7 linked regions of the Canis lupus familiaris genome follow. The protein of the gene in region 1 interacts with the protein of each later gene in a biochemical or structural test. Links are inferred from orthologs where the notes say so. Each region holds a gene or a part of one and is shown on either strand. Other genes may lie near its edges. The genes, in order: H2AC20, UBR2, KAT2A, USP16, RNF8, UBE2B and RNF168.

The links.
Region 2: the proteins of H2AC20 (region 1) and UBR2 form a complex in vitro, tested with the Homo sapiens proteins (2 studies listed by BioGRID, with this or other methods). The link is inferred for Canis lupus familiaris from reciprocal best matches to the Homo sapiens genes H2AC20 and UBR2.
Region 3: of the proteins of H2AC20 (region 1) and KAT2A, one has a biochemical effect on the other in vitro, tested with the Homo sapiens proteins (2 studies listed by BioGRID). The link is inferred for Canis lupus familiaris from reciprocal best matches to the Homo sapiens genes H2AC20 and KAT2A.
Region 4: of the proteins of H2AC20 (region 1) and USP16, one has a biochemical effect on the other in vitro, tested with the Homo sapiens proteins (2 studies listed by BioGRID). The link is inferred for Canis lupus familiaris from reciprocal best matches to the Homo sapiens genes H2AC20 and USP16.
Region 5: of the proteins of H2AC20 (region 1) and RNF8, one has a biochemical effect on the other in vitro, tested with the Homo sapiens proteins (2 studies listed by BioGRID). The link is inferred for Canis lupus familiaris from reciprocal best matches to the Homo sapiens genes H2AC20 and RNF8.
Region 6: of the proteins of H2AC20 (region 1) and UBE2B, one has a biochemical effect on the other in vitro, tested with the Homo sapiens proteins (2 studies listed by BioGRID, with this or other methods). The link is inferred for Canis lupus familiaris from reciprocal best matches to the Homo sapiens genes H2AC20 and UBE2B.
Region 7: of the proteins of H2AC20 (region 1) and RNF168, one has a biochemical effect on the other in vitro, tested with the Homo sapiens proteins (4 studies listed by BioGRID, with this or other methods). The link is inferred for Canis lupus familiaris from reciprocal best matches to the Homo sapiens genes H2AC20 and RNF168.

The regions. Positions count from the first base shown.
Region 1 is NC_049238.1:59,831,278-59,833,569, forward strand, and holds H2AC20 (histone H2A type 2-C), read left to right. Parts: upstream 1-1,332; 5' UTR 1,333-1,384; coding exon 1,385-1,774; 3' UTR 1,775-1,792; downstream 1,793-2,292. Other genes in the region: H2BC21 (histone H2B type 2-E), read right to left, coding at 678-1,058; H2AC21 (histone H2A type 2-B), read right to left, coding at 1,930-2,292. UniProt on the Homo sapiens protein: Core component of nucleosome. Nucleosomes wrap and compact DNA into chromatin, limiting DNA accessibility to the cellular machineries which require DNA as a template.
Region 2 is NC_049233.1:11,480,380-11,483,879, forward strand, and holds part of UBR2 (E3 ubiquitin-protein ligase UBR2), read left to right. Parts: intron 1-690; coding exon 691-792; intron 793-2,334; coding exon 2,335-2,476; 3' UTR 2,477-3,500. UniProt on the Homo sapiens protein: E3 ubiquitin-protein ligase which is a component of the N-end rule pathway.
Region 3 is NC_049230.1:20,651,322-20,655,401, forward strand, and holds the start of KAT2A (histone acetyltransferase KAT2A), read left to right. Parts: upstream 1-1,280; 5' UTR 1,281-1,990; coding exon 1,991-2,527; intron 2,528-2,666; coding exon 2,667-2,790; intron 2,791-3,126; coding exon 3,127-3,272; intron 3,273-3,383; coding exon 3,384-3,473; intron 3,474-3,755; coding exon 3,756-3,937; intron 3,938-4,058; coding exon 4,059-4,080. Other genes in the region: HSPB9 (heat shock protein beta-9), read right to left, coding at 614-1,075. UniProt on the Homo sapiens protein: Protein lysine acyltransferase that can act as a acetyltransferase, glutaryltransferase, succinyltransferase or malonyltransferase, depending on the context.
Region 4 is NC_049252.1:24,570,350-24,574,559, forward strand, and holds the start of USP16 (ubiquitin carboxyl-terminal hydrolase 16), read left to right. Parts: upstream 1-1,410; 5' UTR 1,411-1,546; coding exon of another isoform or gene 1,547-1,565; intron 1,566-1,807; exon of another isoform or gene 1,808-1,947; intron 1,948-2,064; exon of another isoform or gene 2,065-2,477; intron 2,478-4,210. UniProt on the Homo sapiens protein: Specifically deubiquitinates 'Lys-120' of histone H2A (H2AK119Ub), a specific tag for epigenetic transcriptional repression, thereby acting as a coactivator.
Region 5 is NC_049233.1:6,586,602-6,590,101, forward strand, and holds part of RNF8 (E3 ubiquitin-protein ligase RNF8), read left to right. Parts: intron 1-1,160; coding exon 1,161-1,268; intron 1,269-3,426; coding exon 3,427-3,500. UniProt on the Homo sapiens protein: E3 ubiquitin-protein ligase that plays a key role in DNA damage signaling via 2 distinct roles: by mediating the 'Lys-63'-linked ubiquitination of histones H2A and H2AX and promoting the recruitment of DNA repair proteins at double-strand breaks (DSBs) sites, and by catalyzing 'Lys-48'-linked ubiquitination to remove target proteins from DNA damage sites.
Region 6 is NC_049232.1:22,535,474-22,538,973, forward strand, and holds part of UBE2B (ubiquitin-conjugating enzyme E2 B), read left to right. Parts: intron 1-396; coding exon 397-477; intron 478-2,425; coding exon 2,426-2,451; intron 2,452-3,500. UniProt on the Homo sapiens protein: E2 ubiquitin-conjugating enzyme that accepts ubiquitin from the ubiquitin-activating enzyme E1 and transfers it to a E3 ubiquitin-protein ligase. In vitro catalyzes 'Lys-11'-, as well as 'Lys-48'- and 'Lys-63'-linked polyubiquitination.
Region 7 is NC_049254.1:30,253,054-30,256,553, reverse strand, and holds part of RNF168 (E3 ubiquitin-protein ligase RNF168), read left to right. Parts: intron 1-1,234; coding exon 1,235-1,414; intron 1,415-3,500. UniProt on the Homo sapiens protein: E3 ubiquitin-protein ligase required for accumulation of repair proteins to sites of DNA damage. Acts with UBE2N/UBC13 to amplify the RNF8-dependent histone ubiquitination.

The sequences.
Region 1 (2,292 bases):
TAGGGAGGGATTTCAAAGCTTCAAAGGGTTCGGCGGACACCAGAATCCACGACTTTGGGGGCCGGCGCCAGATTTTGAATATTCATACCGTCCAATCACGAAGAGGCTATAGGAGTCGAGCGCAGGCCCCGCCCCCGGCGCCCACACCGCGGGGTCCACGGGAGGCCGCGCCGCGCCGCAGAGGCGGTGACCGCGCCAGGCGGCTTGGCTGCCGCACGCTCAGAATTCTTCGGGGCTGGTCGCAACGTTCCCGGGACCCGGGCTTAGCTGATCCTTTCTTAAAGGACGACCGAAGTCACCCAATTTGATTTAGAACACCAGTGAGACGTCCACCCCAGAGCGGCCAGGACGCAATAGTCCGGCGACGGGAGGTGGGGAGATTTTCAGTATCCTAATTCGAAGGAGTTTGTAGAACTAAGCAGCAGTTACGGGGTTAAGACGCGACCCAGATTAGAAAGCAAAGCCAGTCACGCGCCGGGAATCTCCAAGTACGAATGGCTTGAAAAGCTCCGCGTACTACCTTCCACCTTCCACAAGGAACTTACTTTGTGAGAAGAAAGTGAAGGGTAAAATAAGTGAACAAAGCTCTTTTCAGGTGATTAGGTGGGTGGCTCTGAAAAGAGCCTTTGGAGTCAGGCGGCCGGCGACCCCGGCGGGCGCCGCGTCCCGGCAGGGACTCACTTGGAGCTGGTGTACTTGGTGACGGCCTTGGTGCCCTCGGACACGGCGTGCTTGGCCAGCTCGCCGGGCAGCAGCAGGCGCACGGCCGTCTGGATCTCCCGGGAGGTGATGGTGGAGCGCTTGTTGTAATGCGCCAGGCGGGAGGCCTCGCCGGCGATGCGCTCGAAGATGTCGTTGACGAACGAGTTCATGATGCCCATGGCCTTGGACGAGATGCCGGTGTCGGGGTGCACCTGCTTCAACACCTTGTACACGTAGATGGAGTAGCTCTCCTTGCGGCTGCGCTTGCGCTTCTTGCCGTCCTTCTTTTGAGCTTTGGTGACCGCCTTTTTCGAGCCCTTTTTGGGCGCGGGAGCGGATTTTGCAGGCTCAGGCATTGTAAAGGAGCACACGCGTTGGGGAAGAAAGGAAGTGCGAGAATGGGCGGGCCTGAGCCTTTTATAACCACCGTATGCAAATAAGGGCTCCTAAAACCTTTCGTTTCCATTGGGCCTTGTGGGGACCTTGCGTTATCAGCAACAGCTGCGTCACAACACCTACTCTTGGCCTCATTGGCCGGTTCTGGAGCCAATTTAGGACCAATGAAAACCTCGTTCCTGACCCCACCCCTAGCAAAGCTTATAAAGGCTTTTCCATCGCTCATCTTTCGCTGCTGTTTTGTTGTCAGGTCTGAGCTTTAGGTGTTTTAACCTCGCTAGCAATCATGTCTGGTCGTGGCAAGCAAGGAGGCAAGGCCCGCGCCAAGGCCAAGTCGCGCTCGTCCCGCGCCGGCCTGCAGTTCCCAGTGGGCCGCGTGCACCGGCTGCTGCGTAAGGGCAACTACGCCGAGCGGGTGGGGGCCGGCGCTCCCGTCTACATGGCGGCCGTGCTGGAGTACCTGACGGCCGAGATCCTGGAGCTGGCGGGCAACGCGGCCCGCGACAACAAGAAGACGCGTATCATCCCCCGCCACCTGCAGCTGGCCATCCGCAACGACGAGGAGCTCAACAAGCTGCTGGGCAAGGTCACCATCGCCCAGGGCGGCGTCCTGCCCAACATCCAGGCCGTTCTCTTACCAAAGAAAACTGAAAGCCACAAAGCCAAAAGTAAATAAATCCTGACAAGCCAAAGATCAAAGGCTCTTTTTAGAGCCACCTAAGCTTTCAAAAAAAGAGCTAGTGGCGCTATTTCGTTACCAGCCCCTCAATTGACATTGTTGGTGGCTCTTAAAAGAGCCTTTGGGGTTAGTGGGGATGCTCTCAATCCCAGTTACTTGTTCTTGCCAGGCTTGTGACTCTCCGTTTTCTTAGGTAACAAGACCGCCTGGATATTGGGCAGGACGCCGCCCTGGGCAATGGTGACACCCCCGAGTAACTTGTTGAGCTCTTCGTCATTTCTCACGGCCAGCTGCAAATGGCGAGGGATGATGCGCGTCTTTTTGTTGTCGCGGGCCGCGTTGCCCGCCAGCTCCAGGATCTCGGCCGTCAGGTACTCCAGCACCGCAGCCAGGTACACCGGGGCGCCGGCCCCCACCCGCTCGGCGTAGTTGCCCTTACGCAGCAGCCGGTGCACCCGGCCCACCGGGAACTGCAGGCCGGCACGGGACGAGCGCGACTTGGCCTTGGCGCGGGC
Region 2 (3,500 bases), on another chromosome or scaffold:
ACATGTTTTTTAATAACCCTTTAAAGAAATAAAAATGTCTCTTGTCTGGCATATTTCAAAATTCTTTCAGTCATGTACAGTACTGCTTTGTGTTTCAAATCAACCTAATTCAGAATGTTTTTGTACATTTTTTTTAAATGAGCAGTTCGCACATAATAGTGGTTAAAGTATCAGTATCTATGTTTAAAAGTTAACTATCTGGGGCAGCCCCAGTGGCGCAGCGGTTTGGCGCCGCCTGCAGACCAGGGCGTGATCCTGGAGACCCTGGATCGAGTCCCACGTCGGGCTCTCTGTATGATGCCTGCTTCTTCCTCTGCCTGTGTCTCTGCCTCTCCCTCTCTCTGTCTCTATGAATAAATAAATAAAATCTTAAAAAAAAAAAAAGTTAACTATCTCTCTTACACTTAATAGTTTTTTAAATGCCAGTATTACATGAGCCACTGATTCCTAATCTAAAATATTCCTCTTCCTCACTATATTGATTTACAATGCAATCATTATTGGGTATAATACAATCATTTTAGTTATTTTTAAAATTTGGGCAGATGTGTTGATACTTCAAGTATCTCTGCTATAAAGGCTGTTTCTTCTAACACTGGGGTTGTTTATTTTTTATAAGACTTCAGTCCATTAGGAACTGAATCCAAACATTGGTTACTAATCTGTACTGTATAAATGGTCTCTCTACAGAGTGCGGGAATGTCAGGTGCTATTTTTAGCTGGCAAAACCAAAGGCTGTTTTTATTCTCCTCCTTACCTTGATGACTATGGGGAAACTGACCAGGGACTCAGGTAAGAGCCCATCCTAGGGCACTGGGTTGGCTGATCCTGGGCCTCTAGAGCCTTCAGTACACTGATCAGTCCTAGTGATCAGGGAGTCTGCTTGTCCCTCTGCCCCTCCCCCACTTGTACTCTCTCTCTTTTTCTTTTTCTTTCTAAAATAAATAAATAAGAATGTCATGAGGGCAATCAGGACAGATAAGGGAAATAATAAGAGAAAAGCAAGTTTTTTCCCATTTGTCACTCCAGAGAACCATTGAAGTAGCCTGTTGTGACTTGTATGACTTTGTAAGAGGAGACCCAGTGTTGTTCAGAAGTTATAAAAGAGCAAATATTAATTGATAAGAGATGTGTTTGGGGCATCTGGCTGGCTCAGTCAGTAGAGCATAAAACTTTTGATCTCAGGGTCATGCGTTTAAGCCCCACATTGGGCATAAAGCCTACTTGAAAAAAAGAGAGACGTGCTTATGTTATTAACAAGAATCTGAGGGCAGCCTGAGTGGCTCAGCGGTTTAGCACCACCTTCAGTCCAGGGCGTGATCCTGGAGACCGTGGGGTCAAGTCCCATGTTGGGCTCCCTGCATGGAGCCTGCTTCTCCCTCTGCCTGTGTCTCTGCCTCTCTCCCCCTCTCTCTCTGTGTCTCTCACGAATAAATAAATAAAATCTTTAAAAAAAAAATCTGAGGACAAAGATGTAGAACATATAGAGCAATACAACAGTATTTGAGGCTTAATCACTTCTACTCTGGTTGCTTCTATTATATCATGAGAAAAATGCTAACAACAGTTCCCTCAAGCACTATTAACTTCTTCTAGACCATCTCTTTGCCCAGAGGAGGTGAAAGTCTTAACCTAGGTAAAACCATCCAGCCTTGGGAAGCAGAAAATTAAGAACTGGAAACCAAGGCAAGATAAGTAGAAGGCTGCCCCAGGGGCTTGGCTACAAGGTTATGCACGTAATGCCACCTGGTGATGGTTCTTCCATTGCCCTGAGGAATGTGGGCTCTTAGGAGGAAGAGCCCTGGTTAGAGAGTAAGAGGATTGTGTGTGCTCTGAATCAGGAACAAAGGCCACCAGCATGAACTCATCAAAACTTCTATGGTTAAATTAGACCCAGATGTTATTCACAATTGCCTGCCTTGCTTACTAGACTTTATGGCTAAAAAACAGCACCATGGGAAACATTTTTACTTCTGCAGTTCTCTTTCCATCTCCCCTGCCTCCTTCAGTCTTACTTTTTACCAACAAAGTGGATAATGAATAGGTAGTTGTAGCCTCTCCACCCAGACCCTCCTGCTCAACCCTAGCCTCTCTTCCCTCACCATAATCTGAGTAAGTGTAGCTCCTATACATTTTCCTCTTCTTTTCAGTACTTACTCCCTTCAGCTGCTCCTAGCCAGCCTTCAGAGCTAATGTGTTAATAGCCACAGTCTCATACCAAACAGGAATTTTGCAGAGGATCTTAAACCAGTAACTTGTAACTGTTCCTAAAAGTTGGGGTATAATAGATGAATAAAAAGAATGCATCCTGAATGACATGCGTCTTCCTTCTAGACGGGGAAATCCTTTACATTTGTGCAAAGAGCGATTTAAGAAGATTCAGAAGCTTTGGCACCAGCACAGTATCACGGAGGAAATTGGACATGCACAGGAAGCAAATCAGACACTGGTTGGCATCGACTGGCAACATTTATAGTTACTTCACTACCAAAAACATAAACTTGGATTTTTGTAACCCAGTTGGCTTTTCAGGAAAGAATAGGAAATAAATTCTACTGAATTTGGAAATAAATTCTATATTTAAGCTTTTCTTCCCAGTTTTGTTTTCATAGTTTCTGGCTCCAGGGACTGATGAAAATCATCTTCCATCAGTGGATTTTCTTGCACCGTTTGCTGTGTCCCTCAATATAACTGCTTGAGTTTTAGAATTCAGCGAGGAATTTCTCTTCCCAGGCTGGGCACAGCCCCTTTGTGGGCGTCTAACCGCTTTGACTGTTCCCAGTAGTCTGAGCCATGTTATGTTACTGATCACAAGGCACGCCAGGCCTGAAGCTGATTCGACAGCAGCAGGAAACAGTCTCTGTGGTCTGTTGGGGTCACATTTCCTGGTCCCTTTCAGTGACTCTCAACACTGGGACTAGGTCGCTGTCCCCTCTGCTGACAGGACCCTACCTCTAAGAGCAAAGCAGTGGATTTTGAAAGTGGCTATCCCTGTCTCCATTGGCTATGAGCAGGTTGGGGCACATGTGCAGGAAGAGCCTGTGGGATGGAGAGAGCCTGGTTGCTTCATATGCTGGGTGGTTTTCAGGGCTATAAAAGTTGGATTTGTGGGGGGAGGGGGGCAAGACTTTTGGCTTTGAGAAAAAAACTCATTTTAAAGGGCTTTTTGAAAACTTAGACTATCCTAATTTCTCAGACAATATATTCCCATTTCTAAGACTAAACCAAGAGATTGTATGCATCTAGAATCAAACTAGAAGAAAAAAATGAGAATTCAGTGTTTTGAGGTTCCCCTACCCTTTCTAGCATTTCCTGGAATAGACGAATTACTGTTTACCTGCTGGCTCACTTAGTACATTCCTGGGACAGCTTTTGGGCCCAGGGTTTTTATTATTTTTAAGCATTATTGTTCTTACTAAGAGGTGCCTTCCTAGAATGATAGCCGCTTAGTAGAATAGGTTTTAACTGTTACATACCACATAGCCACTCTCATTTGATGT
Region 3 (4,080 bases), on another chromosome or scaffold:
TGAATCTCCCCAAGTTTGAAATTGAGGGCTTGTATTAGCCTTGCCCCCACCCCCCTCCAGATTATATTGGGGTGATGTGCAGTTTGTATTTGAAAATAGTTGGTCTCTGAAACAACAGAAACCACCTCTTGGGGTTTTTTGGTTAGTCTGTACCTTGTGAAGGACTGGGTCTTCTCATCCTCTTCCCAGGTGATCTCTGGAACCTTTGCCTGGTCTTCAGACCAAGAGACCACCCCACATCAAGTCCAGTCTTTGTATCTATCTGATCTCTGGTCTGCCGGGGCCCTCTGCTGGTTGTGGAGCCTGGTGCCCCCGCTGCCATCCTGGCCCTCTGCTGCTCCCTGCTGGAGCTGCTGCTGTCATTTGCCCAGCACAGGGCTGTTGGTCTACTGAGCCCCGGACCCAGCTCCTCCCGGGGCCACAGAGGCCTGATTCTTGTTGGACCACCACCGTAAAGTGCTTTTCCTGCCTCCCTAAGCCCTCCACTGGCCCTCTCTCTACCTCCATTATGCCTCCACCTTTGATCCCAACCCCAAGAAAAGACCACAGAACACCAAGGCTGCTGCTGCACACTAGAATTGTTGTTTACTGGGTCAGGGTAGGTTGACCTTTCTTAGAGCCATGGCCTCGGAGTCTCGGGGATGGGCCTTTTTGGGCTTCCTGGGAAGGCAGCGCCCTGGCACTGGCCTCCGACGCACAGCTGGCCGGAGGGGGTCATGCTGCAGGTCACGGCAGTGGGATCCAGGTCCGGTGGTAGTTGGATCTGCCGATGCACCCTCTGCGCCACACGGTAGCCAGCCCCATCTGGGCTGCAGCCCTCCAGTTGCCTCTGGCCGGTCACCATCAGACATTGGCCGTCCACTTGCACCACCAGCTCCTCCGGGGCAAAGCCACAGGCATCCACCTTCATCTGGAAGCCATTCTCTGCATGGAAGTTGTTCTGCGCAGTCACCACATCGTCCCTCAGGAGCCGTACGGGCAGTGTGGCCACCTGGTTCTGTTGGGCAAGGGCCACGCTGGGACAGCGGGATGCCACCTGGCTCCCGCTGGGGAGACCGCTACCAACCCGCTGCATCCGACTGAGCAACTGCTGTCCGAGGGCGAGGGCGCGAGGCCCTGGGCGTGGCTCTGGGCGCTCGGTGGCGGCGGCGGCGTGGGGGGGGGGGGGGGCGGGGGTGCGGCTGCGCGCCCTGGGGAGAGGCCCTGGGGCGGCCTGGCTCCTCCGCTCCTCCGCGGCCGCCTGCTACGCCAGTCCGGTCTCCGCAGGCCTGGTGGTCACCGCCCTGGCGCGCCACTGCTGCTCTCATCCTGGCTCCCGGGGCGGTGACCCACCAGCGCAGACCAGCCGACCCTGTAGCGCTCACCAGCGCAGGGCGGAGGCGAGATGGAGCCGGGCTCTTGCCCTTCCCAGAATCAGGCCTGAGGACAAGAAGGGCTGTCCCCTGAACCGAGCCCGGGGGTGTGACCGTGAGGGTCTTCCATCCTGACCGCGCACGGTCTTGTGACACGGGGCTTAGGAGGTGACCGCGACTTCCTGGTTTCCTTCATTCGTCAGACTCTGGGTCTACTGTGGCCGCCTGAGGGCTGGGCTCTGGGACAGAAGGAAGACGCGAACCCTGCCTTCAGGCGCTCACGGCTTTTATGATAATCCTTTATTGCTGAAATATAACATAATAGAAGAAGCGCACCAGAGAGTACCACTGAATTATCCCCCAGAGAGCACCCCCATGTAGCCACCTCCACGGGGCAAGAAATGGAAGTGTTGCTTCTTAATCTCCGCTGTGGCTGCACTTCCGTGTCCGCAGACGTGTGGGACAGGGACAGGGGGTGGAGGGGCGGAAGCCAACACGACCCCGGGCAGCATCTGTGATTCCCCTCAACAGGAGCCTGTTTTCTCAGATGCTCCTCCAAGTCCCCAAGAAAACGGCAATCCTCGCTATCCCATAAGACTTCAAAGAGATTAGAAGTGAGGAGGAGACAATCTAGGGTAATGGCTCAGGCTTCACTTGCTTGTCTGGGGCCAAGAGGCAGGACAGAAAAGTCTGGAAGCCAGAAACGGAGGGAGCGGTCGTGGAAGACTACAACTCCCATCATGCTCCGGCGCAGCGACGCCTGCGCACCGAGCGCCGGTTGCCCATGCGGCCCTAGGGCTAGGAGCGCCGCGCCGCGCTCCGCTGCGGGGGAGGCCATGGCGGAACCTTCCCAGGCCTCGACCCCGGCTCCGGCCACGCAGCCCCGTCCCCTTCAGTCTCCAGCCCCTGCCCCACCTCCGACTCCTGCCCCCAGCCCGGCTTCAGCCCCGACTCCGGCTCCCACTCCGGCACCAGCCCCCGCGCCAGTTGCAGCCCCAGCCGGCAGCACAGGGACTGGGGGTCCCGGGGTAGGAAGTGGGGGGACCGGGAGCGGAGGGGATCCGGCTCGACCTGGCCTGAGCCAGCAGCAGCGCGCCAGCCAGAGGAAGGCGCAAGTCCGGGGGCTGCCGCGCGCCAAGAAGCTTGAGAAGCTAGGGGTCTTCTCGGCTTGCAAGGTGGGGGCGGGGCCTGGGGTGAGAAGGGGCGGGGCTTGGGGCATCCCAGGGCTCCGGTGGGAATGGGGGCAAATCTGTGGCTGGGGATCGGCTCCCCGTGCCCGGTTACAGGGCTATTGACCGAGTTTTCTAACGCCAGGCCAATGAAACCTGCAAGTGTAATGGCTGGAAAAACCCCAAGCCCCCCACTGCACCCCGCATGGACCTGCAGCAGCCAGCTGCCAACCTGAGCGAGCTGTGCCGCAGCTGTGAGCACCCCTTGGGTAAGGCAGGTAGTGCCCTTGGAGCTGGGGCGGGGGCAGGTCCTGGGGCCTGCTTGGACAGGATAATTTAAGTGCCACTGAGTTTTATCTTTGGAACCAAAAATGCCTCCGAAGGAGGGATTGGGTTGGGAACATGTATCCCTCCCAAGGGAAGAGAAAGGAAATTTGCCAGCCCGGAATAGACAGGGTCCACCCAAGGCTGACATAGTAGCAGTCAGTCTCACTACTGGTCATGCTGTTTGGAGCTACCAAGGTTGTAAATTGGTGATGAAGAGTGAGAGAGAGCTCTCGTCATCTATCCTTTCTTTCCAATCCTACCACCTTTCCTTCTTGCAGCTGACCACGTGTCCCACCTGGAGAATGTGTCAGAAGATGAGATTAACCGGCTGCTGGGTATGGTGGTAGACGTGGAGAACCTGTTCATGTCTGTTCACAAAGAGGAGGACACGGACACTAAGCAGGTCTATTTCTACCTCTTCAAGGTGAGCTTCATCCAAGTGAGTGTGAATGAGCAAAGGAGGTGGGGCTGGACTGGGGAGTTTGCAGCTCTGAGCTCCACTGACCTCTACTCCTCCCTCTTCCTCTTCCTCCAGCTCCTGCGGAAATGCATCCTGCAGATGACCCGGCCAGTGGTGGAGGGCTCCCTGGGCAGTCCCCCATTTGAGAAGCCTAATATTGAGCAGGTGGGATGAGGAAGGTAGTAAGAGAATTGGGGGCATCTTGGAGGAGTGAGGAGCCTGTGTTCCCCATCTTCCTCAAGCTGAGAACAAGGGACAGGTTCAGAGAAGGGAGGATGTTCAAGATGGGCATGGGGCTGGGAAGGGGGCACAATTTTTCTTCACAGAGAGCCCGAGTGAGAGGGGAGCTTTAGCCTGCCCTCAGGAAGCACCAGATTTTGTATAAGAAACCCCTGCTGGCCGCTCACGTCTCCTTCCTGGTCTTGTTCCCTACCCACCCCTTCTCAGGGTGTGCTGAACTTTGTGCAGTATAAGTTTAGTCACCTGGCTCCTCGGGAGCGGCAGACGATGTTTGAACTCTCAAAGATGTTCCTGCTCTGCCTTAACTACTGGAAGCTTGAGACTCCTGCCCAATTTCGGCAGCGGTCTCAGGCTGAGGATGTGGCTACTTACAAGGTCAATTATACCAGGTAGGGCTGGCCAAGGCCAGCGGGGGGTGGGGGAGGGGGTAGGGGTGGGGGTGCTTGTGCTCGTAAGCCCAACCTGGGTTTAGTGTCTCCATTCTCCATCCTACCTCCCCTCTGCCCGCAGATGGCTCTGCTACTGCCACGTA
Region 4 (4,210 bases), on another chromosome or scaffold:
GGAGGTGTGTGTAGGGAGAGAAATATATATCTAAAAATGAAAGAAAAATACTAGATAGTGATTATTACTGGGTAGCGACATAAAATAAAGTGAGGTGAGTGATCAGGTGGCTACATAACCTAGATTGCCCAGCCAATTTCTCTGTGAGAAAGTGACTTTTAGGGCAGCCTCGGTGGCTCAGCGGTTTAGCGCTGCCTTCAGCCCAGGATGTAATCCTGGAGATCAGGGATGGAGTCCCACGTCGGTCTCCCTGCATGGAGCCTGCTTCTCCCTCTGCCTGTGTCTCTGCATCTCTGTGTGTGTGTCTCTCGTGCATAAATAAATAGTCTTTTTTTTTTTTTAAAGTAGCTTTAAATGTGTGAACAGAATTATAATAGCAACCACAGAAGATCATGGGGAGCAGCATTCTAGGCAGAGGAAGCAAGAAGAAGCAAGCAATGTCCCTAAGGCTGCATTTTAGAATAGAAAAAAAAAAAGAAATGCCTGTGTGCTGAGTGAAGAAAACTTGAAAAAAAAAAAAAATCTTATCAGCAGTAAAAAAGCAGGAGAGTCAAATGTAACCCTTGTGACTCTGGCCAAATTGATCAGGTGAGGATGCCACTTTCTTAATCTACCTTTATCGGATTACTAATAAGGATGGACATTTCGTCCTATCTCTTAACGACCAATTGTCCTTTTATTGTGAATTACCTGTGCGTCTCCCTTGCCTATTTTTCGGTTGGCGCTTGCATCTCCCCCCCCCCCCCCCCCCAGCGATGGTCTTGTCTTCCGTAGATTAACGCCCCAGAGCAGCGAGCCTGTGTTTATTCAATTCACTTCACATGGGCCTCGGCACTTAACATATTTTGAACGGACACACAGTAAATGGAAATTTCACCTTCAGTCGGCAAGACGATTTATGTTCCCAACCTCAGAAGTCGATCGGACACAATGAGGGCAACTGCGTGAAATGTAAACGTTATTTACATACGTTCACGTTCAGACGTGATGTAAGGTCAGGAGGATGTCATCCAGGAGGTTCCAGGTCTCTGACCACCACCAGGTACGCGGACTTCCGAAGCATTTCAATAATCCCTTAATTACTTCAGAGGCAGGGATACTGGGCAGCCCCGGTGGCTCAGCGGTTTAGCGCCGCCTGCAGCCCAGGGCGTGATCCTGGAGACCCCGGATCGAGTCCCACGTCGGGCTCTCCGCATGAAGCCTGCTTCTCCCTCTGCCTGAGTCTCTGCCTCTCTCTCTGTGTCTCTATAAATAAATAAAATCTTAAAAAAAAAAAAAAAAAAAGAGGGAGGGATACCGACCGCCCCCAGGCTCCTCCAGGCAGCTGCGTCTGAACTTCCGGAGGGAACCGCGCGCAGGCGCCAACGAAATAGCGTCGGCGCCGCAGGCCCCGGGGGCGGGGCTTAGCCACCTCCCATAATGCCGCGTACCGGAAGTTGTTGCTTTCTGGGGGTCAATCTGGCTTCTGCTCTGTCGCTCTCTCTCCGTCATCGGGAGGAAGACGGAGCTGGCTGCCCAGCCCGCGGGCCCATTAGGGGGTGCAGCTATGGGCGCTGTCGCCGTGGGTGAGTTCTGTTCCCACTGCCTCGCAGTCAGCGCTGGCACGATGTCCTGCGTCTCGAGAACCCGAATCTCCTGCCTTTAACCTCGTTCTCCTCCCGAAGGCTCCTCTTCCCAAAGCACGTTACCCGGCCTCGGCCCGGTACCGCGTTCTCATTGGCTTCATGTCCTGTCTGTTCCAGGAGCTGGCCAATGAGTTGTCGGTGCTGGCGCCCTGTTCGACCCCGGACCCCCAGGCTCCCCCGTGGGTGCGGAGCAGTTGGACGGGAAGGGGAGGTGTGGCAGGCAGCGCGCGGCCCGGAGCGCCCCGACACGTTGGGGTTGGGTTCCATGTGGGGGTTAGTAGGAGAAGCCGGGTCTGTCATCTCTCCGGTTCAGGGAACTAGGGTAGGTCACGGCTACGCCGAACTTGAAAGCCGCACTTCAGACCTGCTGACAAAACTTTTCCGAACGCTCTTCCTTTTTTTTTTTTTTTTTGAATGGGTTTCGAGCTGGCATGAGAAGGCTGGGAAGGGACGAGAACGGGTTAGTTACGCGAGCCGGCAAGACCAGCTTCGATTTAAATTTTGTGTGGAGTCCTGCAAAGAGTCACTTGGCCGAGAAGCTGACTCTCGTCTGTCGACTCATCTGAAAAACTTCACAGATTTATTGATGATGCTTTATAGCTGGTGGTGCTTGCCAGTCTCTTTTCTCGACTCCTTTGATGCCCTTTGCAGCCGCGAACGATGTATTGCAGCGCTTTCCGCAGCTCTGAAGCGAGCCCCTACCGTCCTCTCCCTGGAGTAGTTACAATCAGTCTTTCAAGTTTTTCTTTGGAGGCTGGGCTACTGCAGTCCTCAGACCAGATTTGCTAGTGGGGACGAATTCACTCGTTACCTTTTTGTTTTTCACCGGAACCTGTTTGCTTCATTCTTAGGGTATACCTACCTTTGTACCTTATAATCGTTTATTTTTTATTTTTTATTTTTTAATGTCTCAGGTAGTATTATGCTCTTTCTTTCTGTTTCAATGCAAGAAGTATTTCTTGAGAAGTATTTCTGTATGTACCGACGCTATGTTAGATAGATGCTTTTTGGCAATTCAGAAGTGATGCCTGAAACCGCCTCTTTCTCCTAAAACTTTAGATTCCAGATAGAGAAATAACAGGTGTCCAGATCCAAAATTTAAGATGTAGCCCATCGGATTAGGGAACAAAGTGAATAGTGCACATTTATAAAGGTTGGGGAAGTTCAGTTGAGAGGTTTATTTAAAATAGAACGGTTGCCTAAGGCTTCATTGAAATGGACATTTTGGAGAATTGGTAAGATTTGGATAGATGGAGGCAACCTTCCCAGCTAGAGATCACAGGCTTAAAGGTGTTTTTGGAGAGACTGGCTTGATGAGGATGCAAAGAGTGGTGGTCTTGGAACCGAAAGAGCTGGGTTTTAATTCCATCTCTGCCGCCCTGTAGTCTTCCATCACTTTTGTTTTTGAGTTTTGTTTTTTTTTTTTTTTTTTTTTCCTTTAGCAAAATTCTCCATTTAAAGGGTTATTGTGAAAATCAAGTAAGATAATGCTTATGAAAAGGCTTTGAAGATCAAAAGCAGTGTATAATTAGAATGGAACTTTAGTGGTTCTTTGCTGAGAAGTAATGAGAATCAGGATTACCAGAGCATTGAGGACACTTTGTAAAGGACCGTGAGTGCATAGCTCAGGAGCATGGATATGATGAGAATGGCATTATTAGAAGGAATATCTAGTACTGGAATGCAGCACAGATTAGAGGTAGTTGGATTGGACGCAAGAACTTGGGTACTATTTTTTTTCCCCTTAAAATCTGTAATTCTAGAGAAGATAAATTACATAACATGTTATTTTAGGGTGACAGAACTTACTTAAAATATACCCTAGTTTTATATATACCCATATCCTTTGTGTTTTTTGTTTGTTGTTAGTTAACTCATTTATTTTGTTAACTTGGAGCCTTGTTACATTTTAGATGATCCTTGGAAGGTTTAACAGTTGCTTGATGTGGTACTCCTTTTTCATATACATCTTTTTGAATTAACTTCACTTACACTAACCAATCAAGAGCTAAAAGAGGGATAATTCTAAAACCTTAGCCAGGACAGGATGACAGCTGAGTATCAGAATTAATTGGGAAGGGTTTTCAAAACCTGTCTCCCAGGTCCTACTTTCCACTTAGGTAATCAGAATTTTAATAAGCATCCCAGGTAAAGTAACTATTACAGTCATTTAGGTGATGTTGACACTGAGCTTTTGATGTGAAGTACAAGTTTTCCAAATCATTATTTAAAGGTAGGTAGATCTATATACTTTCAACAGTTTTCATGTTTTCTAGTTTTGAATTGTTGACTAAGGAGGAGAAGATTTGTTGTGCAGCTAGGTTTGTCATAGTCTTCCAAAAAGATTTTGGCAGTAATATAATAGTGTAAACAGTTGAGAATGCACTTGTAATAAATTCTCAGTTAGCTAATAACCCACAGGGAATACTGGTATGGAAAATGTGGAACAGTGGATCACTTTTTATATTTAGCTTTGGAATTTGTAAATTTTCTAACTCCATTTAGTAGATTATCTTCAGAATTTTTTGAAATTTTTCTTGGAGAAATTATCAATTTAATTTGCATAGACTGCAGAGCTAAGCAAG
Region 5 (3,500 bases), on another chromosome or scaffold:
TTGTTTTGTTTTGTTTTGTTTTAAATACCATCAGGACCAAACTAAACAAATCTGCCAGCCACATGCAGTCCACAGGCCATCAGTTTGGAACCTTTGACATGAAACCAGTACCTGAGGCTGACTACATCTCTCAGCCTACCCTTCCCTATCCAGACAGGCCTGGAGCAGAATACAGAAAGGAGATTCAACTTTCATTTGGTTTGAGATCTTTATCTTTTGTTTAAATCACATAGTACCTTCTTTCTTAATTCCCAGAAAACCACCACATCTTTTTAAACCTAGCAATTTTTAAGTTTTCAGGGAACTTGACTTTAGTTAAAATGGGTCCAGACCTCTTTGCTGCCCAAAGCAGTGTACAGTCTTTACTTTGATTAGAAGAGATAAAAAAAAGATGAAAAATTAATCAGCCCCTCAGATATATCCTAAATGGCCTTTCCTTTCCCTTCAGGGGCTTCTGACACTTTTGGTCTGGGGATGAGGTGCTAAATTAGAAGCAAGAGAAAACACCTAGCATCCCCACCCCCAAAAGTGTGTCCACAAGTGGTCTGACCTCTTGGGGAAAGGAAAGGGAAATTGGACTGCAGACCTACAGGAGGAGGAGGTGGCAAGCATCATACAGCTTAGATCCCAATCAGCCCCCTGCCTCCAGGGAGTATAAATAACATCCTTATTTTGCAGAAGAGGCAGCTGCAAGGAATACAGGGGGCCTTATAAATTAATTCAGGCTTCCTGCCTCTATGGAGTGTTTTTCATGTCTGCTTTCATGTCCAGTGAGTTCTTGGTTGCTTGAGATGATTTTATATCACCTCTAAACTGCCATTGGTTATAGGATACATAAAGCCTCATTCTGGTCTTGGGTGGTTGGTGTGCTGAGTATGCTACCTTCAGTTTTTCTCATTTGGTTCTGGGAAAGGAGACAGAACCTGTGGTGCAAATGCAGAAGAAGTGGAGAGAGGAAAGAAAGGAAGACAGTGCCCTGTATCAGAAAGCAGTTCTGAGAAGCCATAACCCTTAGGGAAAGAGTTTTAGTATCATGTTGCTGTGCCAGGTTGAATTTTTTATTTAGAGTCCTGAATATTATTCCAAACAATTGCTCCCTGTCCTGTTTTGCATTCTCGTCGGTTCCCCCAAATGACAGGTGGGGTTGTGTGTCTTTTCAGGAAGAGAAGGAGAAGATGCAAGCCCAGAAGGAGGAAGTCCTTAGCCACGTGAATGATGTGCTAGAGAATGAGCTCCAGTGTATTATTTGCTCAGAATACTTCATTGAGGTAATTATAAGCAGTGGCTCATGCCTTTTTGTTCTCTCTACCGCACGGAGCCTCAGCTACACAGGTTCTGCCCTAGGGAAACATTCTGAAGCGATTTTTATTCTAGGAATCTGTTGTAGTTACTTGACTTCAAAGTGACCTCGAGAGATGGCCATATCTCATTTGTTTTTGTAGTTTTCTTCACCTTCACTGATCTTTTTCTCATTTTGCGTGATGTTGAGTGTTTATTTGGTACAATCACTATTTTTAGCTGCAGTAAAGCCTGTATTTCTTTGGTGTTGGGAGAAAACAGGGCCACATGGTATTAGATTTTTGAAGTATCGGTGTAAAGCTACTCTATAAAGCTTTTCTTTCTTTACTCTGAATGGACACAGTGCTGAGAGTAGGCAGCTCGTGCAGCCTGTGACGGGGTGGTAAATGTCACTGATGTGTGGTCACTTTGGGACTTCAGCAGCCAGGTGGAACATATTTCAGGGACTCTGAGGCTCCCTATGAAAACAAAACCTCTTCTAGGTTACCATTTGTCATCATGTCATATTTTTCCTTAGGACTTTATTTTTCACAAATTCTACCATTTGTGACCAGTTCATCATACGCCATTCATCTGAAACTCAAGTTAAATGACAGTGCTTTTCAGACTTCTTTAAAAAGGAAAATGCATGCACGCACTCTGTCCTCCTTTCTGGTAGTCTCTAGGGAGGTTGAGTGTATTAGCCTCCCGAGAAATCCCTCCTGGGCAGATCTGTTTCTTTTGCTGTGGATCAAATTGACACCATTTCCCCCATTGTTTCTAGTTATTTAATTCCCTACTTTGTAGAAACTCAGTCTGGCTTTGACAGGGCTCTGCTGGAGGAAGGCCAGGGAAGGGGGGTTCAGAAAGGTGATCAGTTAGCCCACCCAGAGCATCTCTACCGATGTAGAAGAGACAACCTGACCCATGCTTTGTTTACAGCAGACTGTCTGACCTTTTCCATGATCACCTTGTAAAGTCAGTATCGGAAAGAAGTTTTATTTTAATCAGGTTTTTAGTCATGTTTGTGAGGATTTATCTCACATAGTTAACAAAATAACTCCTAGTTGACTTTCTGTGCTCAACTTGGCATTTGAAAAATGCATAATTTCTGTTATTTTCCACTGCTATCCTTAAAAGCAGGAATGAAGACTTTTGAGCCTCAGAAAAACTTGTATTTTAGGAGATGTACATAAACAACAGTAATAAAGAGCATGGTTTTTATATTTTTAGAAGCAGATAGGGCAGGGTGCCTGGGTGGCTCAGTTGGTTAAATGTCTGACTCTTGTTCTGGCTCAAGTCATGCTCTTAAGATCAGGGGATCAAGCCCTGTGCTGGGTGCAGAGTCTGCTTCAGATTCTCTCTTCTTCTCCTTCCCTCCCTCTCACTTACTCACTCTCAAGTAAATAAATAAAATATTTTTTTAAAAAAAAGGATCTTGTTTAAAAGAAAAGTGGAAAGGACCCTGGCAGAAATCTGACCATTGGAGTTACTTAGAGGAGTTACTCAGATTTAGACTCCCTTCCGCTTTCCCTCTTCTCACAAGTGTATTTACTTGATTCAGTCACTGTCAGTGAACCCATTACATTTTTCCCATTTTTTCAGTTTCTTTTTTCCCAGCCTTTTTAGTTGTCTTTTAACATGTATTCTACTTTTTAAGTTTCTTTGAGTACAGATGATGCTTTCTACCATTCTATATACTGAATATTCAGAATGTGCTCCCCAGCGTCTATTAAAATTGAAGTTCTGGTTCACCATTAGCAGGCTATACATTTGTTTTCCATGAAAAAATTGGTAATGTATTTGTACCAAACATTCACACACTTACAAATCATACTTGTGTCCAGTGACATTTGTTTGCAAGGTAGCTAATCTGGCATTGGCAGTGTCATCTGAGTTGGTGGAACAAGACAGACAAATCAGCCTACATCTATGAACTTACCTTTGAGAAAGAAAATGAATCATCTAACTTAAAATTTCCTATCCCCAAGAACAATTTTAATACCATCTGTAAGCTTTCTAGATGGGATTAGAGTTAAATTTCCATTTGGCCTTGGCAGTGAACTCCTGTCCTAGCTTTGAGATCACAACTGTGCTGGGAAAGTAAGTATGATAGTTCTGATATGTGTGTTCACATTCCCATTGTAGGCTGTCACCTTGAACTGTGCCCACAGTTTCTGCTCCTACTGTATCAATGAATGGATGAAGCGGAAGGTAGAATG
Region 6 (3,500 bases), on another chromosome or scaffold:
GCGGGGGTGGTCATGTTGCACAGGTAGCTGTGGTTTGGAATCAGACCGTCTTTGCATCTTTAGAGCACCAAAAAAGGTGGTCTGTGAAAATCGGACTCGGGGCCTTTAATTTTTGTTGATGGCATTCTGTGTGTATCACTTCTCAAAGGTACATCTTAAGCTTGATATTCAAAAAAGGATGAGTCCAAAGGCCTTTGGAATTTTAGTCAATTTGGAGAGGTGTTTAAGAAGTATATATGTGGTTGATTTCTTTTTTTTAAAGTCATATTATTTTCCCCCTAAGCACAAGAACAAGGAAATGGTGTTAAAGTAGGTAGAATAGTCCATAAGGGTTCTCTTTGGCCTTCATAGCGACCTTAATGTTCAACTTTGAAAATTACTACTCTGGATTTCTAGATTGCAAGAGGACCCACCTGTGGGTGTCAGTGGCGCACCATCTGAAAACAACATTATGCAGTGGAATGCAGTTATATTTGGGTGAGTGGAAAGATATAAAAAATGATAGGTATAGTAATTCTTTTAAGAAAAGTGAATGTAGCAAGTAGGCAAAGAGGCTGAGGTGGAATTGAGGGCTCTTACAGAAACTGCAAAGTAAATTAGAAAAGAAATTCTGTTAAGTATTTCTGCAGTTAACTAAAATTTGTGTTGTATTATTTATGATTTTACAATCACTTTGGGTTTTATCTGATAAAAATTAAACAAGAAAAGGTAAATTATTGTACAGAATAAATTGTACCAAGCAAATGTTTATGCTTGCATTCTTTTGGAACTGTAAAAAGACTAAGAACTAAAAAATACCCAGAGCTTCCAGTGTGGCAAGAATTCATGAGAAATGTATCACATGTTATATATATAACACTTTTTTTTTTTTTTTTAATAGAGGCAGGAGTAGAGGGGGGAGAGAGAGAAAATCTCAAGCAGACTCCACACCACGTGCCAAGCCCAACGCAGGGCTCCATGGCACAACCCTGAGATCATGACCTGAGCCCAAATCAACCACTGAGCTATATGGGTGCCCTGTATATATATGCCTCTTAATTTAAAATTTCCTTATGTCTTTTATTTTTCTGGACTTGATCTCTTTTTCTTTCACACTTTTTAAAACCAGGGGTTTGTACTAAAACCTTAAAGGTACACCTTCATAAACAATTCTGAGTAGCCATTGAATTAGTTATGAAACTATATTAAATACTAGTGGAAAAATGAGTGTAGTTTATTCTTCTAAAGAGATTATATTTGGGGTACCTGGGTGGCTCAGCAGTTGAGCATCTGCCTTTGGCTCAGGTCTTAGAGTCCTAGAATGGGGTCCTGCATCAAGCAGGAACCACCACCACCACCACCACCACCACCACCCCACCCCTGCCAATGGAGCCTGCTTCTCCCCTCTGCCTATGTCTCTGCCTCTCTCTCTCTCTCTCTCTCTCTCTCGTGAATGAATAATAAAATCTTTTTAAAAATAGATTACATTAAATTCAGGCTAACATGCTTTGAGGTCCTGAATGTGCCTTGCAAGAAGAAATAACGCTTGATGGTGCTGCTTAGGAAAGATGAAATTGGGGTATGGAGGCAGGGAAAAGGTTTGAGCAAAAGAAAGTGGCTTTCTTGGTTACATCAGTTCTCTAGCTGTTTTGAACAAGAGGTGTTGCTTTGTTGGGAAGCAGGATGCTTGGTTTGGTGTTATATAATTATCTTGCAGGGGCATTTCCATCTTATTGATGTGAATTGAAAATATGATTTTTTCTCTTAAGAATATACTTTTACAAAGTGACTGGTTGGTATTTATGAACTGAATTGGTGCTAAAACTATGAGGCTTGTCTTTGTAAATCCCCCCTAAAATGAAAACCTAGAATAGCTATCCTTTATGCCTATCTCTATAAAAATCTAGAGCTAAGATGGTACTAAACTATCAGTATCTTTAAAACTCCACAAATCATTAGAATAAGCCCCCTCTTTCTCTGTGTGTTTATCCTTTTGACTCTTAAAAATCAAGAAAAAGAGGGGTGCCTGGGTGGCTTGTATGGGCAACTGATTCATCATCTCACCTCAGGTTTTAAAAGGTTTTTTTTTTTAATTTTTATTTATTTATGATAGTCACACACACACACACACACACACACACACACACGGTGCGGGGGGGGGGGGGGGCGGGCAGAGACATAGGCAGAGGGAGAAGCAGGCTCCATGCACCGGGAGCCCGACGTGGGATTCAATCCCGGGTCTCCAGGATCGCGCCCTGGGCCAAGGGCAGACGCTAAACAGCTGCGCCACCCAGGGATCCCTCACCTCAGGTTTTAGATCTCTGGAGTTAGGCACTGTGTTGGGTTCTGCATTGGGCCTGGACCCTACTTAAAAAAAAAAAAAAAAAAAAAAATTAGGAAAAGGCAGAATGAAACATCTTTTAATCAGAAATCTTCTTGTTTTCAGACCAGAAGGGACACCCTTTGAAGATGGTAAGTCATTCTCAATTATGTTTTCTGTAATACTAGGACGCTGCGTTTAAGTAAATAATTGTTAACACCAACATACTTAAAACTATTTTCTGTATCAGCTTGACCACCTCCATTGCCAGTTCTTTGTGTTACTTTGGTATTTGGCTGTAGAACTGTAGGCCTAGATAGTAGGTTAATGGTGGATAATGGTGCTTTTTTAACATTGTTATCTATGTTGATAAAGTGTCAAGCTGAAATTGTTCTTAAACTTTCATAGCTGAGGCATCTGGCTGGCTCATTCAGTAGAGCACGTGACTCTGTCTCAGGGTTGTAAGGTCGAGCCTCACATTTGGTGCAGAGATTACTTAAAAATAAAATAACTGAAATCTTAAAAGAAAGTAAGAAAGACCTGCCAGTAGCTTCACATACAGTTGGCTTTTGACACCCATAAGTAGCATTCTGTGTATAATCTTTTTACTTCTTAAATTTAGTATTTCCACCAAAAGCCAGGAAAATGGGAAACTGGTCCTGATACGTATTTATAATTGCACTTTTCAAATTGATTGTAATCGGGTTCTTAGATTTTCTCTAATTACAGCATAGATTTTTAAAAATTATTGAACAGATTTGTTTTAATTATCAAAATGTCTCCAGAATTAACCCATTGAAAATATTTGAACAAAGATACTATTTTTTAAGGAGATAACCTGAATGCTTAATAGGGGAAAATGGTTAAGCAAATTATGAGGTATCTATATTATGGAATATTATGTACTTGTTGAAGAATAATAAGGCAAATCTGGACATATGTCTCGAGACAAAGTTTTAGAAAAACGTATATTTTTACTAAACACATATATCCAAGTGTGTGGGTATTAAAGGGTTATAAACCACACCATTATCAGTGGTTTCTTCTAAGTGGGGATAAGGAATTGAAGAGAAGTAGCTCTAAGGACTTCAGCTTTTTGCACTGTACCAGGGGTTCTCAGGTGGTCCATAAACCCCCTTCAAGTCCCTGAGACTTTCTTGGGTTCCTTATAATTAAAACTGTCTTTATAATTTAAGACATT
Region 7 (3,500 bases), on another chromosome or scaffold:
TTTTTTTTTTATTTCCCTGAAGCTTTGAGTTTAAAGCATGGAAAAAAGGTGGTAGATTATGGGTATCTTCTTCCATTGGGGCTGCCATAACAAAAATACTGTAAACTGGGTGGGTAAACAAAAAGCATTTATTTCTCAGAATTCTGGGTCTGGGGAGTCAAAGATTGAGACACAGGCAGATCTGTTGGATGAGGACTTGCTATCCTGGCTTGACCACTGCCTATTCCTTGTGTCCTCACATGGCAGAGGAAGAGATTATTTCCCTCATATTTCTTCTTTTTTTAAAAAAAGATTTTATTTATTCATGAGAAACAGAGGCAGAGACACAGGCAGAGGGAGAAGTAAGCTCCCTGTGGGGAGCCAGAGGCAGGACTCGATCCCAGGACTCCGGGATCACATCCTGAACACCCTGAGCCGAAGGCAGATGTTCAACCACAGAGCCACCCAGGTGCCCCAGGAAGTACAGTTTAAATTACCACAAACATGGCCTCGAGTCTTAGAATTTGAGCTGGAGTCTCTACTCTGCCATGAGCTCAGAAAGTTATTTGCAGGCAGCCGTGGTGGCCCAGCGGTTTAGCCTTCAGCCCAGGGTGTAATCCTGGAGATCAGGGATCGAGTCTCATATTGGGCTCCCTGCATGGAGCCTGCTTCTTCTGCCTGTGTCTCTGCCTCTCTCTGTGTCTGTCATGAATAAATAAAAATCTTTTTTAAAAGAAGCTTTAAAAAAAAAGTTACTTGCTTTTCTGTCTGCTCATCTGTAAATCACATAATCACCATTGTGGTTGCTTCTTCAGCAACCACTCCAGTCCCACCCACTGTGCCTGGGGGCTTCCTCCTAACTTCAGGATAACAGTGTAGTTGAAGGTGTGGTAGGTGAAGAGGAGTGGAGGTTTGATGAAGATTTCATAGGGCTGACTGGGGAAGGCTTCCTGTTTTGTAGGAATTTGCTTTCATATTTGTACATCATTTGAAACATTGTAATTCCTGCCAATTTTTTCTTTTTTTTATTACTTTTGCTGTTCTTCTCAAGAAACGTTGCAAGTATAGGAGCACCTTAGTGGCTTGTTTGGTTAAGCATCCGACTCTTGATCTCTGCTCAGGTCTTGATCTCAGGGTCATGAGTTCAAGCCCTGTGTTGGGCTCCATACTGGATGTGGAGCCTACTTAAAAAAAAAGTTAAATATATTAAATATTTAAAAGTTCAGAGAATTGTTCTTTATTAATCATTTTTAAGGTGGAGGCAGAGCGACGAGCTAGTGAAGAAGAAGAAAACAAAGCCAGTGAAGAATACATACAGAGATTATTAGCAGAGGAGGAAGAGGAGGAAAAACGACAGGCAGAAAAAAGGCGAAGAGAGATGGAAGAGCAACTGAAAAGTGATGAGGAACTAGCAAGAAAGCTAAGCGTTAATATCGTAAGTTTTAGGAGAGAACCGTGAAGTATTGATGTTCCTATTGCTTTGACTACATGGTTTTTGGCTTCCTTCCTTCCTTCCTTCCTTCCTTCCTTCCTTCCTTCCTTCCTTCCTTCCTTCCTTCCTTCCTTCCTTCTTTTCTTTCTTCTCTTTCTTCTCTTTCTTTCTTTAGGATTTACTTATTTATTTTAGAGAGAAAGAGAACACAAGCAGGAGGGGCAGAGGGGGAGAGAGACTCCAGCAGACTCCACACTGAGGGTGGAGCCCAACCTGGGGCTCCATCTCACAACCGTGAAACTACGTGGGTTTCAAAGATCTGAGGAAGTTCACCATGAGTAGAAGTGATTTTTAAAGATTTATTTATTTATTTATGATAGACATAGAGAGAGAGAGAGAGGCAGAGACACAGGAGGAGGGAGAAGCAGGATCCACGCCGGGAGCCCAACGTGGACTCGATCCCGGGACCCCAGGATTGCACCCTGGGCCAAAGGCAGGTGCCAAACCGCTGAGCCACCCAGGAATCCCCTACTAGAAGCGATTTTTGACATATATGTTCTAATTAAAACAAAATTTTTTGCGTATTATTACATTTTTTGCATGTTATGTATTTGCTCTGAAGTACATGTGAAAAAAATCCTAAGTATTTTAGTAAATTCAGAGTCTGTAGGAAAGTTATTCACAGTGAAAGCTTCCTCTGTCCCCTCCCACCTCCATATTCTCATTCCTTTTCCATTACCTCAGTCTCCCCAAAGGTTAGCACTAAACAGTTCCTTAATTTTTCTTATTCACCTAAAAATAATGTATCAGTCACACTCCGTTTTTTTCTTGCCTGTTTTCACTTGGTATATCTTAGAGATTGTTCCTGTAGCTACACAGTCTTATCTAAATCTTTTTAAGAGTGGCAAAAACATTAAATTATATGGATGCAAATCACTTTTTGAAAGTGAAGCACATTAAATAAAATCTTAAAAAGAAATGGAAGTGAAGCACATTAAATTTTTAAGTAATACGCTAGACCTGGATTTTATTATTTTGCTGTGTAGTTAAATTACTGCCTTGGGAAAGATGAATAGAAGGATGATAAAACCATACTTTGAGTCCTGAGGGTACAGTGCGATCCTGACAGAATCACCAAAGGTTCTTTTAAAATACAAATTCCCATACTTTTTCTTTTTTTTTTTTAATTTAATTTTATTTATGTAATCCCGAGAGACAGACAAGAGGCTGAGACGCAGACAGAGGAAGAAGCAGGCTCCCTGCAGGGAGCTGATGCGGGACTCGATCCGGGGTCACACCCTGAGCACCTGACCACCTAGGTGCCCCCCATACCTGTTCTAAGTCTACTGTATCAGATTCTCTGGGGGTGGGATTCTCGGAATACCTTTCCCAGAGGCATCTAGGGAAGCCTGGTGTGCACTCAAGTTTGAGAGTATCTAAAAACAATTCCTGTTTATAAACAATAAATATCTTAAAATATACTTAACAAAACAAAATATATCTAGAATTGAGTTTTTTTTTTTTTTGGAGAGGCCTACTATTCATAGTGTACCCAAGTTTTAGATTATATATCCCCCCCTTTTTTTTTTTCAAGAGGGGAAAGTGGGTCAGAGAGGGGAGAGAGAATCTTAAGCTTCACACCCAGCACACAACCCAGAGATCATGACCTTTGTGAAGTAGAGTCAGAAACTTAACCAACTGAGCCATCCTGGCACCCCTGCCCTTTTTTAAAAAAAATATTTATTATTTATTTATTTGAGAGAGCACAAGTCAGGGGGAGAGGCAGAAGGAGAAGCAGACTCCCCTCTGAGCAGGGAGCCCAACACGGGGCTCAATCCTAGGACCCCTGAGCCGAGGGCAGATGTTTAACCAGTTGAGCCACCCAGGCGCCCCACCCTTGCCCTTTTTAATATATTTCTTCTTTTTAAAATTTTAGTGGAATAGTTTTAAAAAGGTACACAATTAGGAAATTTAAGACATTGATCAATAGAATAACAAATGACATAAGTAAAAAAAATACACCAGAGAGGAGAATCTGGGGTCATCTCTGCCTGTAAAGAGTCTTGTTCTAATCCTTCTTGTTTTTAAT